Notamacropus eugenii: one gene and its partners. The protein of the gene in region 4 binds, or shares a complex with, the protein of the main gene of each other region. Links are inferred from orthologs where the notes say so. Each region holds a gene or a part of one and is shown on either strand. Other genes may lie near its edges. The genes, in order: TOM1, GIPC2, CLTA and MYO6.

Region 1 (6,957 bases), on a different chromosome or scaffold from region 4:
GCTGCTGGGATGCTCTGATGGCTGGGAGAGAACAGGAGTAGCTCAGGCTACCAAGAGGAGCTTCCTTAGCCTTCCAAGACCCCCTATACCTCCTGGTTAGTGCTAAGAAAGGCAAACCCTCAGGAAAACTGGTTACATACAAAAGGGAGCTTGCCAAAGAGTGAGGAGAGAGCTGGGTTCAAATCCTGCCTGATACTGACTAGCTACATGGTGCTGAGGAGATGATTTCTTTTTAGGCCTCAGTTCACTCATCTGTAAAATGGAGACACTATTGATAAGGTTTCCTTGGAAGGATTGGTGTGCCCACAGCTGGCAATGAAAGCTCTTCCCAGCTTATTGTCCTGCTTCATACATCATGCTCTCTCTCTCCCAAATCAAGCCTTTGCCCTGGTGGTCCCCTCTGCCTGGAATGCCATCCCTCCTCATTTCTGCCCTCTTTTGCTTTCTCTGAGTGCTCTCAGCAAACGCCTGGTCCACAGGAAGCAGACACTTCACAGATGCCTTCAGAGTTACACTCTATGAATTGCTGTAACTCAGAATGGTGAATTTTCTCCAAAAATCCATTGTATTTGTCAATTAGGGAAGCTCCAATCTTGGCCAGAAGTGAAAGTGGGGCAGTCTGGGACTGGGGGGTGGGAAGACTCAGGAGCCACAGGCATGCTCTCTCCAGCCCAGAACCTGACTCATGGTCAGGTGGCCTTCCAGGAGGCGTCTAAAGCTGGGATCACCCCACCCTGGGAGGAATCTGAGAACAGTTATTCTGACCACAAAGGCTGGAATTCCAGAGATGGGGGATGAGCTTGGGATGAAATCAGATCAGACATTTGGAATTGGAAAGGACAGTCAGTCTGCAAGGCTGCCCTGCCCAGGCCAGTCCCAGGACCAGAATCCCAGTCTTTCTGGTTCAGAACTCTCATTGTAGAAGATGCCTTGGGGGGTGGGGGGTGGGGGGCAGGGGGAGAGGAGGAGTCAGATCCTCACAACAACCTTGGGAGAGAGGGGCTGGTAGTAGTCCCACTTTCAGGTGGGGAAACTGAGGCAGACCTAGCTGACTTGCTCAGGGTTACATACTTAAAAAGTAGCTGAAGCTAAGTTTGGACTAGTTGTGCTCCACCCGGTGAGTAATCCAGCCGCCTTCTGAATCTCATCTTATCCTCAGCACAGTCTTGTTAAGCAGGTCATGCAAATATTAAAAGGCCTGGTTCAGGTCCTCATCCCTTCTGGCCTTTTGATAGCATCCCCAGCCCTGTCTTTCCCCTCACCCAGATGCCACTCTGCCTCCTCCCCTCCAGTGGCACCCCATCACCTCCAGGATCAAATAGAAAATAAAGTCCTTCACCCCATTCCAGTCTTCCACCTTCCACCTCCTGTGTGCTGGTGTTGCTGTTTCCAGAACACATAACTCTTATTTCCCACCCACAGGCCTTTGCACTGTCTGTGCCCCATGCCTGGAAGCCTGTCCTTCTTCACCTCTGCTCTTTGCTACCCCAGTTTCTCCAGGACTCAGTTCAAATCCTACCTTCTTCCAAAGGCCTCTCTTGCGAGATGATTTTCTCTCCACTCTGTACCCATTCCCTAGGCACAGCCATCTTCCCACCCATACAAAGGGAGCTCCCCTTTCTTTGGGTCTCCAGCCCCTCCCACTATGCCTGGCCCGGAGTAAGCACCTAAAGGAGCTGCTGACTGACTGATCACAGACAAAGCAGGGTCTTCCAGTGGCCCCCTCCTCAGCTGGGACAGACCCAGCCTCAGGTCCTCCCTTCTACTTTTCAGAATTCTTTTTTCCTTGGAGGATCAGCTTCATGCCACCTACTCCATGAAGCCCCCCTTCCTCTTCCTAGGATCAACTTTTCATTCATCTGCATAACTATGACACCCACTGTATACATGTTAGTCAGTTAATTAACTGATTAACTGCAGTGACTTCTCAGAATATCAGGCCTAAATGCGTGGTCTCCCCTCAACAGGACACGAGCTTTTCCAGGCCAGGGACCATCTAGATTGGTGACCCCCAACGCACACAGTAAGTGCTTAATAGATGCCTTTTCATTCAGAGGATCAAAAATCTACCGGAGAATGGGGACAGATGAAGGGGTGTGGCCCGGGGGAAGTGAGGCAGGATTGGGACAGAAAGTGCTGTAGCCAGCATTTATTAGGCGCCTACTGTGGGCCGCGGTCTGGCGACACAGAGAAGACCCAGACTCACTGCTTCCCCAGCCCAGGGCTACGCGCACAGTAGGGAGCTTTCCCCCTCCCCTGTATCTGGTCTGCACGTGGTCACTCTGAGTCCTCCAGGGCACACAGCAGGAGCTACAAAAATGCTTACTGACCAATTTATGTCCGTGGAACTGCACCCCCATTTTGCAGATGAGAAACTGAGGCTCAGACAAGAGAAGTGACGCAGAAAAGTTGGGAAGACCCTCGGGGCACTGGTCCGCCCCGGAATAGTCAGGGGCAGGACTGGAACCCAGATCCTCCGCCCCCCCAGGCTCTGTCCCGTGGATCCCTCTGCCTCGAGGTCCCTCGCCCGGGTGCCGAGTGCCAGACCCCGGACACCCCTGTCCCGGCGCAGCTGACGCTCGGAGCCCCGGGGGCGGGAACGCTGCGGGCCCTTTAAGAGAGAAAACTTTCTGCCCGGCTCCGGGGACCTCCTCGGGCGCTGATTGGATAAGCCGCGGCCTCCGGCTCCCGCCCCCCAAGCAGGCTATAGGCCCGAGCCCTCGCCAGTCGGTCAAACCACCTTTTCTATTGGCTCGAGGACGTTGTCACTCCGCGCTCTCGAGGCAGGGGGGGAGGATCCCCTGAGTCCCCTAGATCTGGGGCTTCGAGCCCGAGGGGTCCCCAGGAGGCGGAGGCCGGCATTGGGGAGGCCGGGACGCGCGGAGCACTTACCGATGCGCTGCCCCACAGGGGAGCTGAACGGGTTCCCCAGGAGAAAGTCCATGGTCGCCGCCGCCGCCACCCCTCCGAGCCCGAGGGATCAGCTGACAGCAACTGCCACGGCCTCGGAGTCGTCACGTGACCCGCCCCCCCCCCCCCCCGAGCAGCCACAGGCCCCGCCCCGTGACGTGCCAATCACCGGCACGAGGCGTAGGCGCGCGGTGGGAGCAGGGGGCCCTCGTGACGTCACGCAACCTCGCCACCCCGCAGCCTCCTCCGCGGAATGTCAGAGGTCATCGAGGGCAGCCCCCGGCCTCCCCTCCTCCACCGTTGCACACCGGAGGCCCAGAGAGGGGGCGGGGCTTGCCCGCAGCTACAGCCATAAGCGACTCCCTGGCTGCCTGCGGCCTCAGTTTGCCCCTCCGTGCCAGGGGGCGTTCCCGGCTGGCCCCCGGGGGCTCCGGGTGTAAGGACTCTATGGTAAAAGGGAGAGCGGAGAAGGGCGAGGGGATGGGCTCGGAGTGGGAACGCCGGGTTCCCCTCCTACCTGCCGAAGTCACCGTCAATCAGCATTTATTAAGCACCTCCTGTGTGCCAGCCCCGGAGCGCATATAAGGAAAGTCAGGGGCCGCCCTTGCCCTCTAAGAGGGACCAGGAGACCGGCACAAACTCCTGCCTTGTGCGGCTTCCCCCCTGGAGCCCTCACTGTTGTCATTTCCGTGGTATCTGGCACACAGTAGGCACTCAATAAGTGCTCATGGGGGGCTGGACGCAGTGATCCCCAAGTCACCGTATGATTCCTCCCCACCCCTGGTCACCATGGCAGCTCACTAAGCAGTCCTTCCCCGTTAGCCAACTCCTTGGTATTCCAGCATCTGTTTGGGGGCTTTATGGAGCTCCTGGCTCTCCCCCTCCCCCTACAGATGGGTAAACCAAGGCCCAGCCGTCATGTAGTGACCTAGGCTCTCACCTAACTTTTCTGCTCACTGGCTGTGCCAACCTGGGTAAGTCCATCTCCCTTTGTCTCAGTTTCTATTTGAATAATTAAGTGGAGAACAGGGACACCTAAAGGAGCTGAGGGTTGGACTGATTTCCCTGTGGTTGTAAGCACGTCATCCTTCCCCACCCTTCCGGTAAGGACTAGGACTATTAGACCATTCATTGTTTTTTCCAAAACAGTCAGTGGTCCCTTTCCAACAAGCCTATCTGTTCACTCTGAAAAAAGAAGGAAAATCCAGGAATTGGAAACCCCAAGGGGAGAGAACCACTTGGCAAGGTGTTGCCCTTTCAAGATGGAAATCAGGTGGGCCAGCTTCAAGTTATTTTATTAGATGTTTGACTTCTCTAAACCTATTTCCTCATCTGTAAAATGGAGATAATTACATTTTTACTGGCTGTCTCATGGCGTTATTAGGAAGATGCCATAAACACAAAAAAATTCATAAAAACAAGTTTTCTTTATTATTATTAGGTGTTAAGTATTCATTGATTACAATAATGTGATTTTTAAAAGACCTAAACAAAAGTTGAAATCTGTTTAGGCCTCAGAGGAAACCTTAAAAGTGCTATAAAAATATTAGTTGCTGCTATGGTTCAAGTCAATTCAATAGACATTTATCAGACACCGGTATGTGCCAGGTCCTGGGAATACAAAGTAAAAAATGGAAGCATTGTTTGCTCTCAAGGGTTACATTCTACTGGGGGACAGGGGAGAGGGAGAGAATGTACACAGACAAGCGAATACAAACGTATACCAAGTTATTGGGAGGAATCAGGAAAGACCCAACCATAGGGTACCAGGGCCTTGTACTTGCATAAGCCCTAGAGTTTTCAAAGTGCTTTCCAATCCATATTTAACACTCACCACAGCCATTAAAGGGGCTTCAACAATGATCTGGCTCTTTCTTTGACCAGCTGTGTGACTGCAGACAAGTGATAACCTTTCCAAGCCTCCCTGCCTCATCTGTAAAATGACGTTAATTCTTGTGCCATAAGAGGGTAATTGTCAGGAAAGTGCCTCGTCAACCTTGATGTGCTACACATGGGAGCTATCAGAGTAGAAAGGGAGATCCCCATGCCCTTAATTTACAGAGAAGGACACTGAGGTCGAGGCTGCCAAAAGTCTCCCAGTTACCGATGAGTAGTAAAGACGAGACATTCAGATCTTCTGACTCTCTTTAAAGGAGTCTTTCCATAATACCATATGCTTAACCCCATGAGGTAGGCAGGCATTGTTAGAGGGAGAAACTGAAACCCAGAGATAAATGAATGAATGGTGCCAAGTGTGGGGGAAGCAGATAAAATAAGTCACATTCCAGTGGGGGAACTCACTAAGTTATTTGCTCATGTGTTTTGCATGGTCAGGAAGGAGGTGTGGAGCACATTTTGACACCAGATTGGGGCTGCCTTCTCCCATGTGTCTGCTTCAGAGGAGAACAGAGGAAGAGTGTGCAAAAACCACAGGATCTTAGAGATGTCTAAGTTCAGCTCCATGCATTTAATGGATCAATTTTACTTTATCTTCCATCAGCAGACATGTTTAAATGGATGTAGGGAAAGCAAAGACAGACCCAGAAAAATCCCCAGAAGCACAATGGAACTCCCAAACAAGTCATAGAATAAGCATATAACCCATTGACCAAGTAAAAATAAAAACAAGAGAACATGTCTCACTCCAGAAGTCAATGGGTGGCAGTGGAAAAAACTCCCTGTTCTGGAGTCACAGGTCCTGGGTTCAAATACTGCCTCTGATGCATATAATCAAGTTACCCTGGGCAGACCTAGACCACAAAGCCTCTGAGATTCTTTTCATTTCTAGATTTAAGATGCCCTGATGCCATAAAGTGTGGGTTGGCAAATTACATAAATCATCCTTAGGTTCATACAAAAATCCTTAGGGGTTTGCCAACCCCTGCTCTAGGCAAGGAAAACAATGATAAAAAGTGGTGACTGGACTGGTGTCCTTGCTATTGGACAGAAGAGACAATGACCACGGGACTCATGAGTTACTGTTTTTCCAGTTCAGTGTTCTCTGCCTCTACGCAGGTCTGTTGACACCTGTTCTTTGGGCTTCTGCTTTCTCTCTCAAATTCATTAACTAATGACATATCTTTGCCTCTTCTCTTATGGTGAAGCAACATTCCCATCTAATCTCATACAGTAATTTCTTCAGCCATCCCCCTAATGGGCACCCAAGTGGCTTCTGGATTTTTTTCCATCCTACTTTTCACAGATGAAGAAAGAAGGGAGGGTCACAGGAGAATATTGGAACCCAGGACTCCTGGCTTGTGGACTGTCTCCATCATACCACCTGGTCTCGTGCCTAGACTCAAGAGCTGTTCAGGACCCAAGGCTTCCCTTCCCTCTCTAAACTTGATGCCTTCCCATACTTAAGTTGATCTGGGATTGAAAAGATTGAAACTTTTTTTTTTAACATGCTAGGCAATTCCATGAGATTGGGAGCTTTCTGAGGGCAGGGACTGTCTTTTGTCACTTTTCGTATCCCCAGGGCCTTAGGATGGTATCTGGCATACAGTAGGCACTTAATAAATGATGACTGAATTCTTGCCTCTCCCTTTCAGTAAGTCCTCCACATGGAGTGAACTAAAGGCCTTCCTTTGAACATTTTGGGCAGGCCAGGGCCATGGCCGCAGTAGGAAGGGTCTGCTTTCTGTTTTCTATTACCCTTCATTCTCACTAACTGACTGGCTCTGTTTCCCATTTCTACCTTCACACCGTCAAAACAGTCACTCAGATGTCACCAAATGCTTGGCTTAGATGCCATTTGTAGATGATCGTAGGCAAGTCATTCACTTACAAGCTGCGGTAGTGATGGTGGTGGGGAACCCAATGATCAACTAATCAACCAGAAGGAATTTATTAAACTCCCAGTTTTGCAGGCCCTCCCTGTGCTCAGAGCTCGGGGTACAGAGACAAAGGAAAGCAGTACATTCTAATGGGGGTGGGTCTTGGGCCTCCTATGACAAACTTCCCACTACTTAGGTAACATGTGGTTCCACAACTTGTGAATTCATTTGACAAGTATCTGGAAAGTGTTGACGCCCCTCTGCTGCCCTC
Region 2 (7,670 bases), about 390 Mb from region 4:
TGATCCTTTGAACAACAGTTTGTGCAGTATTCATTCATTCAATCCAGTGCCTGCTAAGTGCCAGAGATACAAAAAGAGGCAAAAGACAGTCCCTGCCTCAAGGAGCGCACAATCTAATGGGCCAGAAAATATACAAACAAATATATAGAAAGGGAACTACGGATAGGATAAAGAAGATGATCTGAAAGAACCCAGGTTTAATCACAGTTAATGATCGTATGACCTTGGGTAAGTCACAAACTCTCTGAGACCTTCCCACTAAGATCCCCACATCATGTTTCTGTGGTGTCACCCCTTAATGAGACTGGGAGGTCCTTGAGAGCAGACCTAGTTTTTTCCCTTTCTTTGTACCCCTGGTGCTTATCACCGTGTCTGGCACATAGTAGGCACTTAATAAATGCCTCTTGACTTGATTTGAGCCTCAGTATCCTCATGAGTTAAATGGAGATAAATAATGCCTATGCCACCTACCTGGTGGGGGCAGCTTGAACCCTTCCCTGATAATCTAGAGATGTCAAAACAAAGTGACAGGCTGTTACCACTTTGGATAGACTTTGGATAGATCTCCTCCCTCCTTCTCAGCCAGCTCCCCTCTGCCACTACCTTCTTTTCCCTTTCTTCCTCCTGTAAGAACCTAGTGGTTTCCATGGCTCTCTTTCATAGGAATGCCAGAGGCCCCTTGACCACAGGCTCTGGCTTTGAGATTCGAGATCCTTTGGAGCCTCCCAGATGCCACGCCAAAAGGAGCCCGAGGCTCAGGAAAGGGAAGGGACTTAGCCAAGGTCACTCGGGTCAGAACCAGCTTTCGAGCACAGGACAGCCAAGCTTTTCCTCAGTACTCAATGTCTATATGTGGCGTGATCATCACTGTCCTTTCCCTCAGTGAATTTGGATGGAAGAAATGGGCCCCAAAGTCGCAGCGCCCCGAACGGCTGGGAGGAAGCAGGGCGAGAGGAAAAGGGAGCGGCCCTTCTTTGGCTCTACTCCGGGATGGAACCTCAACTGGTTCCCCAAGGGTTGCCAAGGCAGGGTCCCTGGTCCCTTCGAAAAGAATCGATGCCGAGAAGAAAGCCCAGGCCAGAAGGTCCTAACCACCCTCCCCAGCACAGGAGCTCACAGCCAAGGGGCAGACCCCTGGCTCTTGGGCCCAGAACTCGGACCTTCTGATCACCGTCCGGGAGCAAGTGCCATCTCCAGAGCCTCCAAGAGACTCCAAAATGCCTTTATCCTTATCTCTTGCATCTGGGATATGCGAGGTGGGCTTCCCGATTTCCAACCTGCTCCAAACAAACTCCTTCTCTTTTCTCTAGCAGCCCTAGAACCTAGGGCACAGTGCCTTGCCTTGATTTTTAAACTCTCAGGTAACAGAGTAATCTCTAGATTACCCGGGAAGGACTCAAGTTGCCCACAAGAATAGGCATTATTTATCTCCATTTTACAGATGAGGAAACTGAGGCTCCATACTATGTGCCAGAGTGGAAACCCCTGTAGCGCTCAGGCGGAGTGGGAGCTGCCGAGAGGTTACTTTAGCCGTTCAGCGAGTGTGGCTCAGATAGTCCGCTTGACCCCAGATAGACCGCTTCCTGACTGGAGACCAGCTCTAACCACTGCCTCCACACTGCCACTGAAGAGAGAGCATTTTTACTGCATTATCTTAGCGATTCTCTAAAAGTGTTATCCAGGACCGGTTTCAGGGGGTCACTGAGATCAAAACTATCTTCACGGATTACTAAATGTCTAAAATGCTAAGTATGGATAGAATACCCATAGAACAAAGCGGGGAAGAGGAAATTGGGCCTCAATCATTTACGTGTGAGTAAGGGGTCTTGACTCCAAAAAGTTTGAGATCCGCTGCAGGATTTATTCCATCTTCCTAAGAATCCTGTGGTGTAAGTAACACTGGTGGCATGATTATTCTGTTCACAGATAAGAGAAGGGACCTGTCAGACCCAGGAAAGTCGAGAGACTTGGCTTCTGGATTCAGAAAGCTAATAAATGCTGAGAGATGGGATAAGGACTTTGGTCTCTACGGAATCCAAGGCGCCTGCCCTCCCAGACCAGGGCCAGGATGACCTCCTTCCGCGGAGGACAGTAGCTCTAAAGCTGAAGATAACATCAGAGGCCTCCCAGTCGGATCCTTTCATTGGGCAGATAAGGAAACTGAGGCATGGGAAGACTAAATAATTTGCCCAAGGACAAACTGGTCTGAATCTTCAAATGAGGTATCTGAAGCCAAGAAAAGAGACCTGTGTTTGATCCAGGGTCTGTCCTTTACTCCTTGAGAGGCAGGGACAAGTCTCGCGTTTCGAGGCCTCAGTTTCCTCATCAGGGAAATGAGGGAGCCCGACTGGATGGCGTCTGAGGTGGGTCCTTCTCTGCTCTCGAGGCCCGGCGATTCTGCCTCCAGAGCCAGGGGAGGGAGTCCTCGGCCATCTGAGTGGCATAGAAAGACAGGCACCAAGCAACAGGAAGCAGAGGAGACTGAAACTCGCCCAGGCACTGGCCCGTGCCCTTGCTTACCTCGGAGGGAGAGATGTCGAAAGCCTGGGCAATCTTGGTGTAGAGCTCCTGGATGTTAGAGAAGCCCTCCACTGTGCCCGTGGAGCTGCCGTGTGCCAGCTGCGTGTGAAACACCAGCTTGGGCTTGGGCTGGAGCTCCAGCGGCAGGGACTGGGCGTTCCAAGCGCTCTGAGCAATCGGCTCGCCCTCCATCAACTTGGACACGTCCGTAGACCGGGCTTTCTTCTTCTTGACCCTCAGTCCCAGCGGCATCTTAGGTGGTCAGAGGGCGCGGCTGGGTGAGGACGGGGCCCCAGGAGGCTCTAGGAGACCAGGCGTCTGTCGGTCAGGCCGTCCGTTGGGGGCAGGAGGCCGGCACAGGTAACCGCGTCCTCTCCGACACGCAGGAGCAGCCTCGAAGACAGTGGCTGCAGCTCGGCGAGCTAGATCAGCGGACTTTGTTCTGTGGTGCCCGAGGGTAGGGAGCAGAGGGGCAGGGCAATCCTGGGCTGGGTGTGTCCCAGGTAAAAGGCTGACCCCGGCCAATAGCTGCGACGCGACGCCTACGCCTTCCTTCTAGGAGACTGGAGGCTGGCCAGTTTTCTCCTCCTGCCCGCACCGGCCTCTCCTACTCCTAGGGCAGCGGCGCTTCTGGGGAGTCAGGGGAAGCGGGGCAGCGGTGTCCCAGGATGAAGCCGAGGGAGTGGAGCCAGGGGGAAGGTGGGACTTCACGGTGAACGGTTCGGGTCTGCAAGACCGGGCTGGAGTTGGAAATCCGGCCACGAGGAGCCAGGGCGAGGCGGGGTGGGAAGGTGGGGGGTCCCCTCAGTCTCAAGGCTCCCTATGAAGGATAATGGAAAAATATGCGTCCGACAGGGCTTAGAGTGCCTAACTGGGAACCAAGAAGATTGCCCAGTCTGACCCTCGCTGTGAGTCCAGTGGCCTACGAAATGGAGCCTCAATCACAGTCTAATACAACCGACCCAGAAACGGTAATCAAAGCTACCCCACCAGCAAAGATCACCACCATCTTTCTGAGGCAAGCGGTTGGGGACATCAACCTACATCGGCCTCTTGCCACTCCCCCCCCCCCCCCCCCCCCACATTCAGCGCCCCGCTGCTCCTCTCTAGAGACCAACTCGGCAAATGCGATCTCCCTCAGGAAATGCCTCAGAACAGGCTGCACTTGGAAGCAAACCCATCCCGGATTCCTCCAACAGATCCTCACCTGGCCTAGACGCAAATGGAGATGGTGCCTCCCTCTCCAGGGGTTGAGAGGGTCTGGGAGCGCAGGCTTGTAGAGGGACTGGCACACTTTAAAGCCCTATGGAGGTGGCCTTTTTCTTCGGGCCCATGAGCAGCTTGTCTCTGTCTTAGCGCCCCAGTGGCCTGGGTCACTGGTAGCTTGGAGACTTAATTACTGGGGGCCCTAGAGCAGGTAGGCGTCTGGGGCAGGTCTTGATCCCCAGGTTCCCAGAGCCCCTAACCCTAAATGCACCTCTCCTGAAACCGCGATAAGAAGCCCGAACTAACCAGGGGCCTTCCTAGTGGCTCCAACCCTCTTCTGTGCTGTGAACCCAGAAAAATGTGAGCTCCTGGGGAGATGGGGGGGATCGTTCCTCTTTTTTCGTTTCATTCCCACTGATGGCTTAATAAACGCTTGGCAACTGATTGAGGAAGGGAGGCAGAACCAGGGTTATCTCCTTTTTATGGTTGAGGAAACAGGTTCAGAGCTGGGGGATGAGGGGAAGAGATAGAAAGAAATCCAGGGTCGGAGAGGCGACTGAGTTGAGAGGCGGAAGTTGCCTTGTGTGGGCAAAGGTGGAAGTCGTTGTTTGGAGCAGACAGAAAATGGCAGGCCCTTACCTGACAGCTACCTAGGAGAGGGTGGCAGGGCACCCAAGAGAAGACCAGTCAGGCAGACGGACTCAGCGGAACAAGTTGCCCCAGCTGGAGATGGAAGGAAGGCTCTGGGTGCAAGTGAGAGGAAGCTTGGCTCCTCATCTGCCTCTTCTGCCCTTCGTAGCTAAATTTCTAGCAAAGGTCCTCTACTGATTTTCCTGTCTCCCTCACCCTTCTGACCTTCTCAATCCACTAGAAATGCCCTCTCAAAGTTACTAAGGCTTCTTAGGAGCCCAATCCAATGACCTTTTCTCCCTCCTCCTCCTTCTTGACTCTGCAGCCTCGGACACTGGGACTGTCATCTCCTCCTCCATACTCTCTTCTCTCTGGGTTTTCCAGAGAACCCCCCTCTCTCCTGGTTCTCCCACCACCTCTCTGACGATCCTTCTCTATCTCCTTTGCTGGATCCTCAGCTATATCACCCACCCTGGGTGTGCCATTGGGTTCTGTCCTGAGTCCTCTTCTCCCCATCTACTACTTCCCTGGTGATCTCATCAACTCCCATGGATTTAATGACCATGTCTGGGCAGATAATTCTCAAATCTACCTTGCCTGCCTCAGTTTCTCTGCTGACCTCTAATCTCAAATCTCCAAATCCCCTTAAGACATCTTAAGTAGGAGACATTTCAAGCTCAACATACCCCAAACTAAACTCATTCTCTTTTCTCTTAGCCTCCCTCCACCACTCTATTACTGTCAAGGGGACCACCAGTACCTCAGGCTCTCAACGTAGTCCTCTTGGACTCCTCATTATCTGACATCCCCCATATTCAATATGGTGCCAAGGCCTGTTACTTCTATTTCTATTACATACCTCAAGTACAACCCCTGCTGGGGGGTGCTGTCTGCCTGTCTCGAGTTTCTCCCAACTGCAGTCCATTCTCTATTCAGCCACTAAAGTGATTTTCACCAGTCTATTTCACCCCTCTATTTAATAAACTCTGTCACCTTCATGGAATTAAATACAAAATCCTTTGCTTGTCATCCAAAGCCCTTTATAACCTGGTCCCCTTCTCCTTTTCCAGTCTTCTTACATCCCACTCCTCCACAGGAATTCTGATCCAGTGACATTCACTTCCTGACTGTTCCATGAACAAGACTGTTCATCTCTTGGCTCCCAGCATTCTCTCTTGCTGTCCCCCAGCCTGGAATACTCTTCCTCCTCCACTTTGACTGGTAACTTCCTTGGCTTCCTTTAAGTAACAAGAAAAATCTCATCTTTTACTGGAAGCCTTTCCCAGTCCCTCTTAATTCAAATGCCTTTGCCTTTGTTGGGTTGCCTGTTGCCATTTGTTTTGTATGTAGTTTGTGCATAGTTTGTACCTATTTATTTGTTTGTTGTCTCTCTCATTAGGCTATGAGCTCATGGAGGGCAGGGACCATCTTTTGCCTCTTTTGTCTCCTCAGTGCTTAGCCCAGTGCCTACCAATAATAGGAACTTAATAAGTGTTTGTTGATTGACTGATCACCATTACTATTGGTTGTCCTTCATTCCCGAAGAGGACCAAAATGACTATGCTAGATCAAAGTTCTAGTGTGTCTGACCAGACCAATAAGAGCTTGGAATGCTCTACCACAGGTTGGGCATAAATATTCCATATGAACATTTGGGGTGGATTCTTTAAATATGAGCATCTCGCATTTCTTTTGAGTTACTTCAATTCCTTATCTGAAAAAGGCACACCATGCTGAGCAGTTCTGTGCCACTGTCTCCCATGTAACACAATCAATTCCAAAGTTCTTAAGACAGACCTTGAGAGTGTCTTTGTATTGCTTCTTCTGACCACCATGTGAATGCTTGCTGTATGTAAGCTCTCCATAAAATGGTGTTTTGGCAAGTGTACTTTTTGCGTTTGAACAACATGGCCGATCCATTAGAGTCGGGCTTTCTGCAGTAGAATTTGAATGCTTGGCAGTTTAGTTAGAGCAAGAGCCTCAGTGTCTGGTACCTTATCCTTCCAGGTGATCCTCAGGATCTTCCTAAGACAGTTCAAATGGAAGCAATTCAGTTTCCTGGCATGGCACTGGTAGACTGTCCATGTTTCACAGGCATACAACAATAAGATCAGCACAATGGCTCTGTAGATCTTCCATTTGGTAGTCAGTCTAATACCTCTTCTCTCCCAATGCATGCATCAACATCATTGTCATTGTGTACATCTCTGGAAAGTACACTACCAAGGTAAGTGAACTTATCCACAGCATTCAAGACTTCTCCATTTGTTGGAACTGATGGTTCCATATATGGATGGTGTGGTGGTGGCTGATGGAGCACCTGTGCTTTCTTGGTGTTCATTGTTAGGCCAAAATGGATCCATACCTTTTATTGCATCTCAACTTCAGAGGCTGCATTGAGGGCACAATCATTTGAGAAGAGAAAATCCTGTGCTAACACTTCCTCCACTTTGGTCTTGGCTTGTAGCCTTTTCAAGTTGAATAATTTACCACCACAATTACTGTAAGGGGATATGCTAATGATGCATCCAAGCAAATACATAAAGTAAGGAAATAACATCAATTTCTCAGAAACATAATCATGGTTCAAAGGATTTTGCTTTTATTCCCTGCCTAAAAGGAGTATGAGGAGCAAGACCATTGTGTTGCTCAAGATGTTATATACTTGAAATCAGGAATAGGGAGATAGAAGACAGATCTATCCATGCATGTGCATGTGTGTGTGCACGTGAGTGCTTGTGGGTGGGGGGCATAGTGGAGGGAGTGATGGACTAGGAATTAGGAAGATCTGAATTCCCATCCCATTTCTGACACTTCCTGGCTATGTGACCATGGACAGCTCACAATCTCTCTGAGTTTCAGACAACTCTCTAAATGGGTGAGAAAGGGAAGCATGCGGTAGGTAATAATTGAGGGAGGGATTAACCTTAAGCAAAACAAACTGTACCCAAGATTAGCAAAAACATTTACAACATCTCTTTTCATAGTGGCAAGAATGGGAAACTGAGGGGTGCCCATGAACTGAATGAGGAATGGCTGAAGAATTGTGATACACATATTGTGATGGGGTGCTATAAGAAATGATGAAGGGAATTGTTTCAGAGAAACCTGGGGAGACTTTTATGAACTAATGAAGAGTGAGACAAAAAGAACCAGGAGAAGTTTATATAGTGACAATATCTGAAGGATTTAGGAACTCTGACCAATGTAATGACCAATCACAATTCCAGGGAACTAATGATGAAACCATGTTACCCACTTCCTGATAGAGAGATGATTGACTCAGACTGTAGGTAACATTTTTTTTGACATGT
Region 3 (7,444 bases), on a different chromosome or scaffold from region 4:
ACGCTGTTACCACTGCTCTGCCCCAGTTCTTGATGGGGTAAGCTGGTTCCTGGTCCCCTTCCCTGCTCTCCTCCACAGCTTTAGCAAGGGATCAGGAAGCTGGGCTCCGAGCTAAGACAAACAACACCACCCTCTGTTTAGCCTCTGGTTTCTGCTTCCAATTCCTGCTGGCCCCAACACTGATCCTAGCTTTGGCCCTATCATTATTTCCTCTTTCTGGAATCACCAGGTAGATGCTAGTTTCGTTCCCTGTTGCAATCTTGATGAGCCTCCACTATATATTGGGGATTATAATTTTATCTTCCCCTGGGGGGTTCCCAGGAGCCTTGGACTGGTTTCCATCTTCTCCATCAATCTCCCAAGAAGCCTTTATCTCCTACTCCAGCTCCAGCAGGCTACTGGCTATCAGGGTAGTGTCAGTCCTTATGGAAGGCCCTTGCTCTGTCCCAGCACCATCAGGCTCCTCGGTCCCTTCACCTCACTAAGAGACATTCCACCCTTCTTGGGAGCTAGCTTTATTCTCTGTTGGGATTCCAGTAGTTCAGGGCTGAGATCTCACTGTCTTCAGGCCCTCTGTACTGGAGATTATGTTGCCTTCAGCATACTTCTTGCCTTTTTTGTAATTATTCCTATCCCTTGTCTGGTCAAGGATGCATCTCCTACCCATAAAAACCCAAACACTTTGGGATAAATTTTAGCATCATTATCATTCTCCATCCCTCCTTCACTGCACAGTGATGGACCTAGAGAGGTGAAAAAAGCCCCATAAGAATCAGCTATTTCCCAATGCTTAGGTAATACCTGGTACCTCTGCATGGCTGACAGCTAGATGGCAAGGAGATAGGGTACCAAGCCTGCGGTCAGGAAGACTCATCTTCCTAAGTTCAAATCCAGCCTCAGACACTTACCAGCCATGGACCCTGAGAAAATCACTTAATTCTCTCTTAGTTTCCTCATCTGTAAAATGAACTGGAGAAGAAAATATCAAGCCATTCCAGGGTCTTTGCCAAGAAAACCCCAAATGGGTTCACAAAGAGTCAGACACGACCGAACAACAAACAAGTGCGTTGTAGAGAAAGGAGAGGGGAGGGTTTGTAAAGAAAACAGTGAAGAGCTTTAGTCTGCAAACTGATTCAGAGGATCCTAAAAGGCCTGTATTGATTCTCCTCCTTTTCCATAGCACCCACTTTAAATCTAGCAACAAACACTAAGCCCACCACATGAAATGAAAATACACTAGGAAAGATGAAGGACTATAGGGACTGTTAAACTGAATGCCATAGTATATTTCATAATGTCTGCTTTGTGGTTTCCATAACCTTTCTTCTCATTTTATGTAAGGACATGTTTACTTTTTAGAATTTTGTAATTATAAGTGTCTAGCCTTTGCAGAATGTAAACATGAACCTGTATGGTTTGCTGCAGAACATACATCCATATCCACATTTATATTCTTAATTGATACCTTTTACCCTGTTAGGATTCCTGTGTTTGGTAAGTTTATTCTCTTAAATCTGAGTCAGTATTCATATGTAGAATCACAAAGGAAAAAGGTTATAAACACCTCCACCAGAGGTCTTTGATCCTTGCTGGAAACAACCCAAGTCCATTCTCCTGGAATTTACCATGTGATTTAGAGGTAACTCAGTGGGAGAAGACTCAGGTCCATATAATTAACAGGCTACTGTCCCCAAGCCCATGCACTTTTACTTGCTTCTCACTTTCCTTTGCCTTCATCCTAAAACCAGTTGCAGTCTCCCTCCCTATCACCTCCTATTATATACTTCATAAATAAATGTCCACCTTCCCAAATAGCCTCAAAGCAACTCGGATCATAGATGAGATGTTCCACATCTTCCCTGGTTAGCTGAATTTTGAATAAAATTGGGAGACATTCTAATCCTATATTCTAAATATCAATTGATTGATCATTCCTCTCAACCAATTACTGTGCTCAAGGAACCCAAAACATAGATGTAGGAGTAGGATTTAACAAAATATCTTGACCCTCATCAGTCATCCTGGAACACCACACACTCCCCCTTACCCCCTCAAAAAAAAAAAATAGAAAAGAGGAACAACTGCAACACATGTCAGAGAGGGAACTTTTTTTTTTTTGAGACTTGTCCAAGCAGGAAGTACAGTGACCTCATAGTCTGATCCCACTGATGATTTTTTCCATTTCTGATCTGGGTAGGGCCCCCTAGTTAGGTAATCTGCTCCTGGGGGGGTGAGGGTGGGGCTAGCATACTGATGCCAGATTTAGTGTGGATACCTGATCCACTGCAGCTCATTGCAGTTCAGAACTCCTGTGTTCAAGTGATCCACCAGCCTCACGCTTATACAAGCCTTACCTTCTCTGGGAGTGGGATTACAGGTACGTACCTCCCCACTTGACAGACTTTTCTTATATGGAAAAAGGAAAGTTAGGAAGCATATTTTCAGGGCCATAGTATACCAGTCTGGACTCCAGTCATCTGCAAAGAATATCCTTCAATAAATCTTTTTTAGACATATGTCATATTTGAGCTTTGTCCTTTCCCCTCTTTTAATTGCAGACAGTGAATTACCAAGTAATTACTGGATTGGAGAGACCTTTGCTGACAAATCTAAGCACTCACACTAAAGTTTTCAGCTGCTGTAAGCAGACTTAATTTGGTCCCTAGAATATTTTTTTTTAAGTTAAAAGCATCCTCATCACTGAAAAGTGTGAGAACCACTGGACTAGGTGATCACTAAGGACCCTTCTACTTCTAGCAGTCTCTTGGGGACTTGTGGTATCATTAGGACAACAAATACTCAGTGTAGAAACTTTTTCTACCACATACAGATAGCAACTCTTCTGCAAATTATAGTTTTAAAGGATGGCCTAGGGAACTGAGAGGCTTGAGTTGCCCAGGGTCACATAGGTTAATATGTGTAATCAACAGGACTTAAAATCAAGTGTTGGGTTGCTAGGCCTTGCTGTGGATACAGCATGGGGCCTGGAGTCAGGAGGACCTGAGTTCAAATGTGACTTCAGACACTTACTAGGTACGGGACCCTGGGCAAGTCATTTAGCCCCCATTGTCTCCCCCACCAGAAAAAACCCAACCCAAACCAAAAAATAAGTCTTACTGACTCCCAGGATGGTCTTCCATCCCCTATGCCTTGCTAACACATTCTATGACTGAAACAATTTTTGAACAAAATAAGGATACTAAAAGTGACTGTTATCATTAAATCATTCAATACACATTTTTAAAGCAACTATGTCCACTGTGCTGGGCAAGGATGGGGGAGGGGAGAGGTACAGAAAAAGATAAAGTATCAACAATAATCTAGCCTTTAGCCACAGTAGCTTCTTCTGCAGTTGTAGAAACCAATGTTCTCTTCCTCTGAACTAATTTTTTCTAAGTTAGAAAAATGAGAACTGAGAAATCAGGAAACCTTATCATTTTCTGTGAATCTGTAAGTAAACAGGAAGAGACAAAGAGGCTGAATTAGCTCTATAACCTAATGTTTTAGTTGCATAAGCTAACATTTTAAATTTCTCATGTTACCCAGTAGGAAGCAGGTTGTAGAATGGTTAGAGATCTTAGATAATTTCTTTTCCACTTTCCTTATTTTACAGGTAAGGGAACTGAGGTTTAGGGATGTTAAGTACTTGATCCAGGTTCACAACCCTAGGAGACACAGAGGCGAATTTGGAGTCAGGTACTGAGTCTATCATTTGTTGCCTCCTCCCCTCCACCCCTGTTTAAAACACAAAGACACACTCCAAATTTTTGACAAAATTAGTTGAACATACCTACATATCTGTTTTGTTAAAATACCATCAAAGAAAAGTGTCAAAAATCTTACATCCTACAGTCTCAAAGAAGACAAAGAACTTTCCATCCACCAGAGCAGACTAAAACTGGTGAGTGATTAGGAATTGTGCTTTGAGGGGAGATCTGAGTTCAAATGTAGCCCCAGACACTTGACACTCATCTCCAGTAATCCTGATGAACATATGGTCACTGGATTCAAATCCAGCGCCCTGTTTCCAGTCCTGGGACATTCTGTTAACAAGAGCCAGTGGGCTATGGCTGCCATTTGTAGTGCGGTGTATCGTAGGGCTGGGTTGTTTTTGTTTTGGGAAGGTGTGGGGAAGGAAGAGGAACAGTGCGAGGTTACAGATGCAGGGAAAACTGGCTCGTCTGAGGCTCCCCGAGAAATCCTATAGAAACGAGGAATGTAAAGTGACACGCGGAGCCTCTGGAAACATACTAGCAGTGTCCGAAACTGACGCATGTAATTAACTCGCCAGCTCTTCCCGGGAAATTCACAATCACGTGCCGAGCCTTTGCAACTCCTTCGGAGACTTCCCCGACTGGCGGTTCGCTATTTTGATTGGCCGCGTTCCTGGCCCCACCCTCGGCTCCTGGAGTCACGAGTTTTCCCAGGGCCCGCCCCCGCGTCCCTGCCGATTGGGCCTCGGCTCTGAGCTACGAGGCTGCCGATTGGCAGACCCTACTTCTCCCCTCTGCTGCCTTCACCTCTTGGGGGCGGGGTTTCCGCTTCCGCCCCTCGCCCCCCACGATCACCACCGCCACAGTGGCCGCTGACCTCCGTCCCTGGCTGCCTGCCCTCCCCCGGACCTGCTCCCTGCCCGCCCGCTCCGGCCCTGTGCGCCATGGCTGAGGTAGACCCGTTCGGTGCGGCCGCCGCTCCGGCCCCTGCCCCGGGGGGCCCCGCGGTGGGTAACGGCGTGGCGAGCGGCGGCAGCAGCGAAGAAGACCCGGCCGCGGCCTTCCTGGCCCAGCAGGAGAGCGAGATCGCGGGCATCGAGAACGACGAGGGCTTCAGCATCCTCGACAGCGGCAGCGTGCCGGCCTCGCTGCAAGGGGAGCCCCCCGGAGGCCCGGGTAAGAGCCGCGCCCGCCCGGGGGGCCCGGTGGCGGGCCCGGCGGCCAGCCCGGCTCGGGAGGGGGCCGGGGCTTTCCTGCCCTTCCGCCTCTGCGTGCTGCCGTGGGGCCGGCGGGCGGGGGAGGGGAGGGCGGGCCCGGGCCGGGCCGGGGACGGAGGAGGAAAGGGAGGCAGAGCCCTGCTGGCCTGGCGGAGCCCCCCTGGGGAGGAGGTCCCTGCCGGCCGCCCATCAAGGGTCACTTTTAGGAAGGGGGCGATTTCTGTTCTTAAGCAGGAAGTGACAAGAACAGGCTGAGCTGAGGCTGGCTATGAAGGGTCGGAGGGGCGTTCAGTGGCCGCGGGGCGCCTTTGAGCTGGGAGGACCGTGGGGATCGCGAGGGAGTGGACGGCGGAGAAGCTCGGGTGTCCGGCCGGCCCCTGGGGGAGCCTGTGTCAGCCCTTTGAACGATCGAAGGGACGGCCTCGCGTCTTCCCTCGGGGCAGAGCACGGGCAGAGCCTTCCGAGGGCAGCCGAGAGGCCTCCGGCCTTTGGTGGGTCTCCCAGCAGGTGGTGTGGACGGTTGTGGAGAAGAGTTTCAACCCGCTTTCTGCAGGATGCAGGTTTCCAGAGAGCCCAGTTCAGTCCCATAAACACCAGTGCCTGCCCTGTGAAAAGCACTGCAATGGTGGTGGTAAATCCAGGGGAGTGGAGGTCTTTACCTCCATGGCTCTTACACTCAGACAAATACAGTAGGGGAATTCTAGAGGAGCCTACAAGTGCTTTGGGGACTGGGGCTTCCTCACACCCTGGGAGTAATTTTTGATTTTGTTTTTGCTTGCCCTCACTCTCACCCAACTACCAAATCCTGTCTGTTCTACCTCAACACGTCTTCTTCATTCTCTTCTCACTCACTGATCCCCCATCCCATGTACTGGGACTCTCTGTGTCCAGTCTCTGGATTCTCCACAGAGCTTCTGGCATAGGGCAGGGCAGCCAACATCTTCTCCAGCATTTGCTGTGTGCCAAGCGCTCTGCTAAAGCACGGGGGGGTACAGATAGGAGCAGATGTAAGCAAACACGCAGGTGATGTTCTTAAAGATCTTACATCCTCATGGGAAGAGACAACCCAAAAAGGAGGAGGAGAGTGTAGAAACAATAGCGGCGTTTGGGTATAATACCAAAGACCTCAGAGTCAGAGGCAAATCCAGGAGTGAGATGAAGTATGGCTGGGTCCATTCCCCAAGTGGGAGTCCCAGGAAGAACTCACACATGGGAGAAGGGGCTGGGGAAGCAGTGATGCCCTAGGATAACGGTGCTGGGGCCAAAGTAGACGCTGGCTTTGGAGAAGCTTGCATCCCACTGGGGCTTGAAAATTACCAGAAGATAAATAAACAGAAAGTACTGTAATTGGAATGAAATCCACCTCTGCTGAACCTTGAAGGAATAGTAGCCTCCACATAATACATCTCATACATGGGACTGTGAAAATGCTTGGAGGCCAGAGATAGTGTCGAATTCAGGAAACAGCTAGGCGGTAAGTTTGGAATATAGAGTACATTAAGTAGGAAAGTATGAAACAAGACTGGAAAAGTAGGTTAGAGTAAGATTGTATAGGGCCTTAAGTATAAAAATGAGGGCTTGTGTTTTATCTTAGATGCAAGGAACAACCAAATGATTTTGAGCAGGGGGTTAAGGTGATCAAAGATCTGTTTCTTTGGAAAAGTTATCTGGAGGATTAATTGGAGAGCCCAGACCCCGAGAGCAGGACAGCCATCTCTTCAAGGAAGTTTCTTTACCTCTCAATACCAGTGACATCATAGTTCCATTCACCCCCTTCCTCCCATTTCCTCCAGTGCAAAAAGTGAGGGTCTCAGTGTCAGAAGGGATGGATAACTGACTGAATGGGATTAAGGAGCCCTAGGACTTGAGGGTAAGATGGAGTTTTCAGTCTTGGTCTAGTGGGAGAACTGTGCTACCTTCAAAAGAAATAAATTATTAACATATGTGATTGGCATTCAGGATATCAAGGATAGATATATAGATTTGGGAGTCACATGCCCGGAAATTGTTTGAATACCTAGAAGCTGATGACACTTTCAGGGGACAGAATATAGAGACAGAATAGGGTCCATGACAAAGCCCTGGGGAGCATTCATGCTGAGAAGACTGGATATAGATGATGACTCAGCAAAGGATATCAAGGATTAGTTAGGTAAGTAGGCAGAGAACCAGGAGAGGGCAGTGGAAGCTGAAAGAGGAGGAGGGGGGCTGACTTTTTCAATCTGCAGTCAGGGCAAGGAGGAGGACTGAGAAGAGGCTATCAGATTTCGTGGCCAAATGAGGGTCCTTAACTTTTGGAGTGTAGTTGCAGAGTTAGCTTTTGGACAGTAGATTAGTGGTGAGGTTGGAAGCCATATTACAATGGGTTGAAAAGTTAACGGATGACCTGACTTCTCTGCAAAATATTTATTAAGGACTACCTGTGTTATCAGGTTAGGGTGCTGGGGATTCAATGACAAAAATGAAACAATCCTTGCTCTTGAGAAGCTTAAGTTATATCAGGGAAGACATACA
Region 4 (7,730 bases):
AGGTTGGAGTTAGCCAGAAGGGCTACTTCCTCAGAGACTACTGGAACAAAAGAAGCTGAAATAGGGACTGAGTCTGAAGGGATATGAGGTGAGAAAAGGCTTCATTTTCTCAGTGAGCTGTGACAAGGTCTTTTGTTCTTCAGACAGGTAGTTTGAAGAGAGAAGAGGTTTAGACATCTGTGTGAGAAGTTCATTAGACAATTAGGAAAAAGTAAAAGAATTGACTCGGGAGCAATGGGGATCCAGTTGAGATTAGATAACACAGATTTGTAGTAGATACAGGTCAGTATAATTGTGTAACTTCCTCCAGGGGTCATTCGGCAGTAAATTGGCATATCATGATTTATGCAATCTGTCCCTATGAAGGAAACCACAGTAGAATCCCAAGTAACTAGAAGATTCAGGAAAATGGTGAGTTTTCTGGTTAACTAGGACTTCAGTAGAAATTTTATTTTGATTTCATTTTTGTTGCTGAAAATCTTACTAATCCAATAAATTTGACACAGTAAGTACAGAAGTGAATATATTTGTTAATGATTGAGGAATTTGCAAATGACTAAGTTCTAGTAATCATAATGCAGCATTGTAGATGTAGAAAGTACCTCTAAGTTCTACCTTAGAAGCTGTTTTTTTTTTTAATGAAATTCTTACTGTCAGAGTGTTTTCTTGTGCTTTACTCTTTTTCTAAAAACTCTCTAGGATTAATTAATTACAGTATAGTAGATTATCCATGGGATTAATAAAATAATTTCTTATTTTAGAGGACTTGTCCCCCTATGAATCAGTCCCAACCCATGGACATCTATCTATCTGTTCCTTCTCATCTTCAGCAGATTGCTTTTCATTATCCATGCTGTCATCTTCAATCTCTTCAGGTCTACTCACTGCTTCTTTTCTGCCTACAAACTTGCACATCTGTCCTCAAACTTCAAAAAAATCTTGATCCCTCTACCCGGACTAGCTATTGTCCCATATAACTCCATCTATTTATGGCTAAACACCTTAAGAAGGTAGTCCATGATGGGTGCCTCCACTTCCTTTCCTCTCTCTCTCTTCTTAACTCTGAAAGTTGGTTTCTGACCTAATCACTCAACTAAAATTTCTCTCTCTCCAAATTTCTCTCTCTGATCAATGATTTCTTAATTGCCAAATTTACTGGCCTTTTTTCCATCTTCTTCATTATTGACTCTTCTGCAGACTTTTACATTATGGATTACACTCTTCTCCTTAGTATTCTCATTTCTCGAGATTTTTGTGACGCTGCTTTCTTCTGATTCTCCTATCTATCTGACTGCTCCTTTGCTAATTGGTTACTCCCACTATATGTGGGTGCCCCACAGGGCTCTGTCCTGGACCTTCTTCTCTTCTCCCTCTATATTATTTCACTTAGTGTTTTCATCAGGTCTCATGCATTCTCTTTGCTGATGATTCTCAGATCTACTTTATCCAGCTCTAACTCTCTGCTGGCTTCAGTCTCACATCTCTAACCGGACATCTTGAACTGTGTTTCATAGACATCTTAAACTTAACACGTACAAATCAGAACTCATTATTGTTTTCTCCAAGTTGTCCCTTCTCCCAAACTTCCCTATTATTGTCAATGTTATTATTGATAGTAATGTTACAATCCTTATAGTCAATCAGGCTTGCAAACTAGTTATCATTTTCAATTCTTGACTTTCATGGCATCCCTCCTCTGCACCTCCCCCTACCTATATCTTATTCGTTGCTATGTCCTGTTGATTTAATCTTCTTAACATGTCTAATATATGATTCCTTCTCTCCTCTACACCTCATGTTCCAACTCACGATTGTCTTTCCACTTTGGCCCATTATTGACTGATTGATGGAGCCTCTACTCATCTGTCAAAGTGATCTTAAAGTTCTGTTCCTACCCTGTCACCCCCCACTCAGTTAAATCCAGCAGTTCCCTATCATATAAAATCTTCCTTTTGGCATTCCAAGCCTTTTCCATCCTGCCCCCCTCTTTCCACTCTCTTTACGCTTTAACCCCATGGACTCACTGTGCTCAAGAATGCTGCTCCTTACTGTACACACTCCATCCTATATTGACTCTGATTTTTCGCTGGCTGTCTCCCATGCCTAGAATCCTGTCCCTTCTTATTTCTACCTCTTAACTTTCCTGACTTTCTTTAAGTACCTGCTAAAATCCTATCTTCTACAAGAAGCCTTTCCCAATCCCCTTTAATACCTGTTATCTTATCTCCAATTTATCCTATAAATAGCCCATTTGTACCTATTTGTTTGTCTATTGTCTCCTCATTAATGTGAATTTTTTGAAAATTGGTTCATCTTTTGCTTTTCTTTGTATTCCTACTTAGTATACTTAGTATAGTGTTGGGCACGCATTAGGTACATTATAAATGGTTATTGTCTGTTATCATCTTGTGTGATTCTTGTCCAAGTCACTCCATAAATGTTTCTCCAGTTTATTTGAGACTTTGTGGATACAAATGCTATACTAGTGCTGTGTAAGACTATCACAGTCAAACTAAAGATCTTTGAAGTTTACAGCTAGAGAAAACTCAAGATTCTTTGGATGATATATTACATGTTACTTGTGGAAAGGACTAGAATATCCCAAAGGAAGAGGAAAATTTGCTTCTTTCAGTTTGTAAAATAAGGGAAGTATTTCTGTTTTTTGGAAGAAAAAAACAGAAAAAGAACAAAATTTAGGAGTATTTTTTGGAAGAACAGATAGCTAGGAAATCATGCTTAACTAGAGAAGGAACTGAGACTGAAATATGTAACACATTCCTTTTTTACTTTTGCTGTCAATCATAGTCATATGATATACTACCCTATACTTCTTAAGATGTATTAGTTTCTAATGGTTTCCAGGCACCTTTTAAGTTGAATGATATATATACAATTCTAAACTCAAAAAAGGGAAGACACAAGATGCCATAGCAATACTTTAATATTTGTTTTTTTCTCACTACTCCTTCTGCTTGGTACCTTTATTTAACATTTACTTCCTGTCTAGCTAGCTTGAGATTTCTGTGGTTCCAGCAAATTGTTTCCTTTCTTGGTTTCTCTTCCTCTTTCCTCCTTCTCCCAGTACATTCTTCGTAATTCATTGTGGCGGTTGCTCCCTAAAGTCTATACGTTATCAAGGATTTTCTGAACTTTTAAAGTGGCTACTTTGATATACTGGGAAACAAATCTACTTTTCAAATGAAATTTATTCCTTTTTTTTTCATAAAAATGTTCAGCATCTTGGATGAATTTAATTTTCTCCAAACTGAAAATTTATTACTTCAGAAGAACCATAATAATAAGAGCTACGTTTATATAGTACAAGTTAAAAGTTCTTTCCTATAAATTATGTGCTCCCCACAACAAGCCTGTGAAGCAACGCTGGTATCAGAATCTCCATTTTACAGGTAAAACAACTGAGGCTGAGCAGATGAATGGCTTGACCAAGACCATACAGTTAATGAAGATCTCATTTCATGTTCCTTGTTCTTTCCATTGTGCTACTACCTCTGACAAAAGACTCATCAAGCAATGCCTGTCTGAATAGCCCTTTCTACCTATTCAGATTTTAAAATTATTTTCAAACAAATCAACTATGGAAAATGAAGACAAACTAAAAGTAGGATAACGCTTTTTAAAGTTCAAGCTGCCTTTTTTTTTAGGGGAGGGGCGTGAGCACAAATAGAAATGAAACATTCTTACCCTCTGCCTCCTATAGAGACAAATAAATTTGGAAGTAGGCTTCGTATAAAAATCCAACAAAAGTAGGATTTCAAATACAGATACATTGTATCTAAGTGTGCGAGCGTGTGTGTGTTTCTAGATGTTCTAGATAAATTAGACAGTGGAGCAGCTAATACACTTCAGGAGCAGCCTCCTCTTCTCCTCTCTCAGACTTCGTATTCAATGGACTCTCCACGCTAGAAGAAAGACAAACAAAAAACCCAAACTGGTCAGTTACAGAACTTAATTACTGTGACGGGATACTTTAAGCCTCCCTCCCCTTTCCCACAACATTTTTGGTTTCTTTCCCAGAAACACTGGCTTCTTTCTTTAAGTACGTAGAGTTTTAGAGTTGGTGGACACTTACTTTCTTGATGCTGGAAACTCAATCAAGTGTGGAGGAAGGTTTTCCACCGCAGGAAACGCAGACTGGATCTGTCAGTTTCTCTCCCCCGCCCCCCCCACCCTCTCCCTCTACCCTTCCTCCCTCCCCGTGCCGCCCCCCCCCCCTCACGCCCCCCCCCCCCCCCCCCCCCCCCGGGAGAAGTATTGTCTGAAGACTTGGGTTCCGTTTCGGGCTTTGACACTTGCTCCTATGAAAGCAGACAGGTCACTGGTGAGACTCTGGGCAAGTCATTTAATCTCCCAGGGCCCCAGTTTCTTCGTCCGTAAAATGAGGGCGACGGGATTGAATAACCGCTGAAGTCCCTTCCGGCTCCTAATGTGCGATCCTATGACACTCCCTTTTGGCCCCCGCCGAGGACCGTGAAAGAGGGGCGACCCCCCCCCCCCCCCCCCCGCCCCGGCCTGGTAGCCCTTCCCCCTCCCGCGCACAGCCGTTCGGGGCCGATCTGTCGGACCGAGCGCTGGAGTGGGCAGGACAGAGGTGGAGAGATGCGGGCGCGGAGCCGCGGGACGGGAGACTGAAGGGGGAGCCAGGGTGTGTGGCGGCGCGGGCGCGCGCGGTGGCGCGGGCTGGGAGGGGGCGGGCGCGCGCCTCCCTTGCCCCCCCCTCCCTGGGAGCGGCGCGCGCCCCTCATCCCGCCCCTAGCCCGCGGCGCCGGCGCCCCCGCCTCCGCCTTCTCGGGCTCCCCGAGTGGGTGACGTGAGGCGCAGCCGAGTTCCTCCCTCGGACTCTGCTCGGCGCGGCGGGCGGAGGGAGGGAAGGGAAGGCGGAGACGGGGCTCAGCTGCGCTGGGAGCAGGAAGTGGAGCAGGACCGGGAGCCGCTGCCGCCGCCGTCACCGCCAGGAGCCCGGCGCCAGCGCCCTGTCCTCCTTCCCGCTGGGCAGCCGCTCGGTCCCTGCAGCCCTTTTCTCTTCCCTCTTTTCCCTCTCCCGGCCGCCTCGGCCCGGGGCCACCCCGCCCGCAGCCGCCGCCGCGGCTCACCTGCCTCCCCTTCCAGGTGAGTGAGGGAGGAGGGAGTGTCCACACCCCGGGGGGCGGCTGCGTGCCCCGGCGGCCCGAGAGGCTCGGGGGCCTCCCTGCCTGCCCCTGCCCGGGAGTCCGGCCAGCGGCACATCTGCATCTGCAGGGGGCTGTGGGGGAGTGAGGGTCTTACTGGGGAGAGGCGAGGGGTCCCGGCCGGCCCCTTTCTCCCCCGTTCCCCGACCTCCGGAGGAGAGAGGGGCCGGGCTGGGCCGGGGCGCAGGGCAGCCGTGCCGGCTCGCTCGGAGCTGCGGGTTCGGCCGGCCTCTGGACCGGCCAGGTGGCGAAGGAGACGGAGCCTGGGAGGCTCCTGGCCGCTCCTGCGGGAACCACCTGCCGTGTCTGCCCCTGACGCTCTCTGTAAGAGGCTGGCACCGTTGGGGAGGAAAAAAATGAAAACTTTTCTCTAGGAGCTGGTTAGTAAGCACTTAATGAATTCCTTCTGGATTATCATTAAGAAAACGACCTTGCTCTAATGCAGCAGGAATCAAGCCAAGGCAACAGGCGTTTACTTCTTATTAAGCGCCTACTGCATGCCAGGTGCTGTGCTTAAGTGCGGGGGACTAGAAAAGGGCAAAAACAGCCCCTGCTCTCAAGGAGCTCCCACTTATGTGCAAACGAGATAGGGACCGGATAAACTGGAGATAGAATCTCCGAGGGAACACACTGACAGTAATCTTTTATTTGTGGTACAAAGATAGCTTTAATTTTTTTTTTTTTTAGAATAAACATCTTTTTGAAAAATGGGTGCCTTTTGTTTTTACATCCCATTCATTTCTGAGTATATTATTCCCCTGCCAGCCACCTATCCATTCATTCCTTCTTGGAAATTAAAAAAAAAATGCAGTTGAGCAAAACTAGCTCACATTTACCTAGGCTGTGCAGGCCTATTCCTTTTTCCACACCCATAGTTTCCCATCTATATAATGAATGGCCAGAGCTTCATTTTCTTAACTCTTCCAAGATCTCCCTCTATGATTAAATGACTTAAAAAAAATGGAAACATCTAAGTAAATCTGTTATATAAATGAAAGAATCAGTGCATTAATAATAATATAATTGTGTAAGTGCTTAGGTTAAGCATTTAAAAAACCAAAACATTTTTTCACATTGTTCTAAAAATAATAGAAATTAATTTTAAAGAAACTTTATACTCCTACAAGGGAAAAAAATGCCTTCTGTTGCTGTGATTTTGATTTCAGGGAAGTTGTAGTTTTATAACTGTCCTTTTTCCTGATGTTAGCCAACTGCTCATGAGAATATACTGAATTTTACATCCATTAGTGTTCTCATAATACATGTTATGGAGGCAGTATTTAAATACTAACCCATAAGTATTAGTGAGGAATATTACTGAAACTTTGATAAGTTTTTGAAGGTGTTACAATTTTGTGATACAGATATATATCTAGTCAGAGTTTATTGGGGATTTTTTTTTCTTCTGGAGGAAACAAGATTTTAGCATAACTTGTTGAATAAAAATGATCTCAAGGTTTAACAGAAATTACACTTGCCATAAAATGTGGATCTTGAACTTGGGTTGGTAGTGGTCAGGGTACAAAGGTTAACAGCAAAGCAGAGGGCTTTTTTGCACAAATTAACTGAATTTAAAGAGATGTCTTCCTTGTGCTACAGCTACAGCTTGATGATTAGGACTTGTTCAGCAAAATTGTCATCTTTCATTTGTCAAGCTATATAAATACCATGTGGTGGGCCACTCTCAGAGGAAGAAACAATAAAAGCTGTTAATCCTTGTTTTTTGTAAATTTACTTTTTCAAGTACTAAACTTATTTTAGATGTTACACAGAAGTTTATAGGTAGAATGATAAACAAGGGTCCCTTTAACCTTTTGTAAATTTGAATACTGAATTTTATATAAAATCTTTTTGTTCTTTGAACCTTTTCTTCAAGTACAGTTTCAGAAACTGTTAAAAATAAGTAATCTTTTTTTGGTGGGTGAAAGGGAGGGAGTATTGATAGAGATATCAGAAAAAAGAAGGAAAACAGTATCAATGAAACATTTAAAAAATACATTGAAAAGAGCAGAGGCAAGTTCAGAAAGACAAGAGCAAGATAGTTTCAGAACTATACTGTTAAATTTATTATATTCTTAAAGCTATTATACAGTGGATCTTTGTGGTTTTCTATCATAATGTTTTCCTATTATTTGTATTCATGTATGGAAATAATTACGTTCATTGATATTTGTCAAGTTCATTATAATAAAAAAGAAAATATAAAAACAATAACAAAAAATATTTCTTCTGCAATAACCCCCCCCAAACCATATTATTTTTATTTCAGTTATTTCATTGGGTTATTTCGGTATCTTATCAAAAGTTGACCTAAAGTATAAAAAACAGTTTCAGTGATAAAGTTTGTAAAGAACATTAGTCAGGAAGTGAGAGAGCCACTGAAATTTCATCCTGTTGTGAATGTGCTTAATGTGTATTGAATATTATGTCATCCATTGTTTAGACAATTTTGCTTTATTGGGGAGCTGGATTGCCATTTCCTTCAACTTTTAAAAAAAGATTTTGACTGATTTGAATAAGTACAAGTATCTGAAACGCTTAAAA

Evidence for each region.
Region 1: the proteins of MYO6 (region 4) and TOM1 are in contact, whole or in part, in a crystal structure (PDB 6J56), measured with the Homo sapiens proteins. The link is inferred for Notamacropus eugenii from reciprocal best matches to the Homo sapiens genes MYO6 and TOM1. Residues at the interface, in NP_001355794.1 of Homo sapiens: Ile1182, Phe1184, Trp1202, Gln1214, Glu1216, His1218, Asp1220, Lys1221, Pro1222, Ile1224, Leu1226, Glu1234, Met1235, Cys1236, Leu1238, Glu1242, Thr1243, Gly1244, Leu1245, Arg1247; in NP_005479.1 of Homo sapiens: Ser440, Glu441, Phe443, Phe446, Leu447, Arg450, Ala451, Ala453, Ala454, Asp455, Leu457, Pro458, Asn459, Leu460, Ser461.
Region 2: the proteins of MYO6 (region 4) and GIPC2 are in contact, whole or in part, in a crystal structure (PDB 5V6H), measured with the Mus musculus proteins. The link is inferred for Notamacropus eugenii from reciprocal best matches to the Homo sapiens genes MYO6 and GIPC2. Residues at the interface, in NP_001034635.2 of Mus musculus: Ser1055, Lys1056, Trp1057, Lys1058, Tyr1059, Arg1084, Arg1085, Leu1086, Val1088, Tyr1089, Trp1092, Lys1093, Asn1096; in NP_058563.1 of Mus musculus: Glu255, Leu256, Tyr257, Met258, Gly259, Ile260, Asp262, Asp264, Leu265, Thr268, Thr289, Leu290, Asp292, Phe293, Ala294, Pro296.
Region 3: the proteins of MYO6 (region 4) and CLTA are in contact, whole or in part, in an NMR structure (PDB 6E5N), measured with the Homo sapiens proteins. The link is inferred for Notamacropus eugenii from reciprocal best matches to the Homo sapiens genes MYO6 and CLTA. Residues at the interface, in NP_001355794.1 of Homo sapiens: Met1053, Thr1054, Pro1055, Met1058, Ala1059, Met1062, Ser1087, Trp1089, Lys1090, Tyr1091, Glu1113, Arg1117, Leu1118, Val1120, Tyr1121, Trp1124, Asn1128; in NP_009027.1 of Homo sapiens: Glu47, Asn48, Glu50, Ala51, Phe52, Ile54, Leu55, Asp56, Gly57, Gly58, Ala59, Pro60, Gly61.

What each region holds. Positions count from the first base shown.
Region 1 is NC_092874.1:292,427,379-292,434,335, reverse strand, and holds the start of TOM1 (target of Myb1 membrane trafficking protein), read right to left. Parts: upstream 3,019-6,957; 5' UTR 2,945-3,018; coding exon 2,893-2,944; intron 1-2,892.
Region 2 is NC_092873.1:539,178,433-539,186,102, reverse strand, and holds the start of GIPC2 (PDZ domain-containing protein GIPC2), read right to left. Parts: upstream 3,006-7,670; 5' UTR 2,773-3,005; coding exon 2,521-2,772; intron 1-2,520.
Region 3 is NC_092874.1:318,883,876-318,891,319, reverse strand, and holds the start of CLTA (clathrin light chain A), read left to right. Parts: upstream 1-4,433; 5' UTR 4,434-4,657; coding exon 4,658-4,889; intron 4,890-7,444. UniProt on the Homo sapiens protein: Clathrin is the major protein of the polyhedral coat of coated pits and vesicles.
Region 4 is NC_092873.1:145,790,163-145,797,892, forward strand, and holds the start of MYO6 (unconventional myosin-VI), read left to right. Parts: upstream 1-4,730; 5' UTR 4,731-5,127; intron 5,128-7,730. UniProt on the Homo sapiens protein: Myosins are actin-based motor molecules with ATPase activity. Unconventional myosins serve in intracellular movements. Myosin 6 is a reverse-direction motor protein that moves towards the minus-end of actin filaments.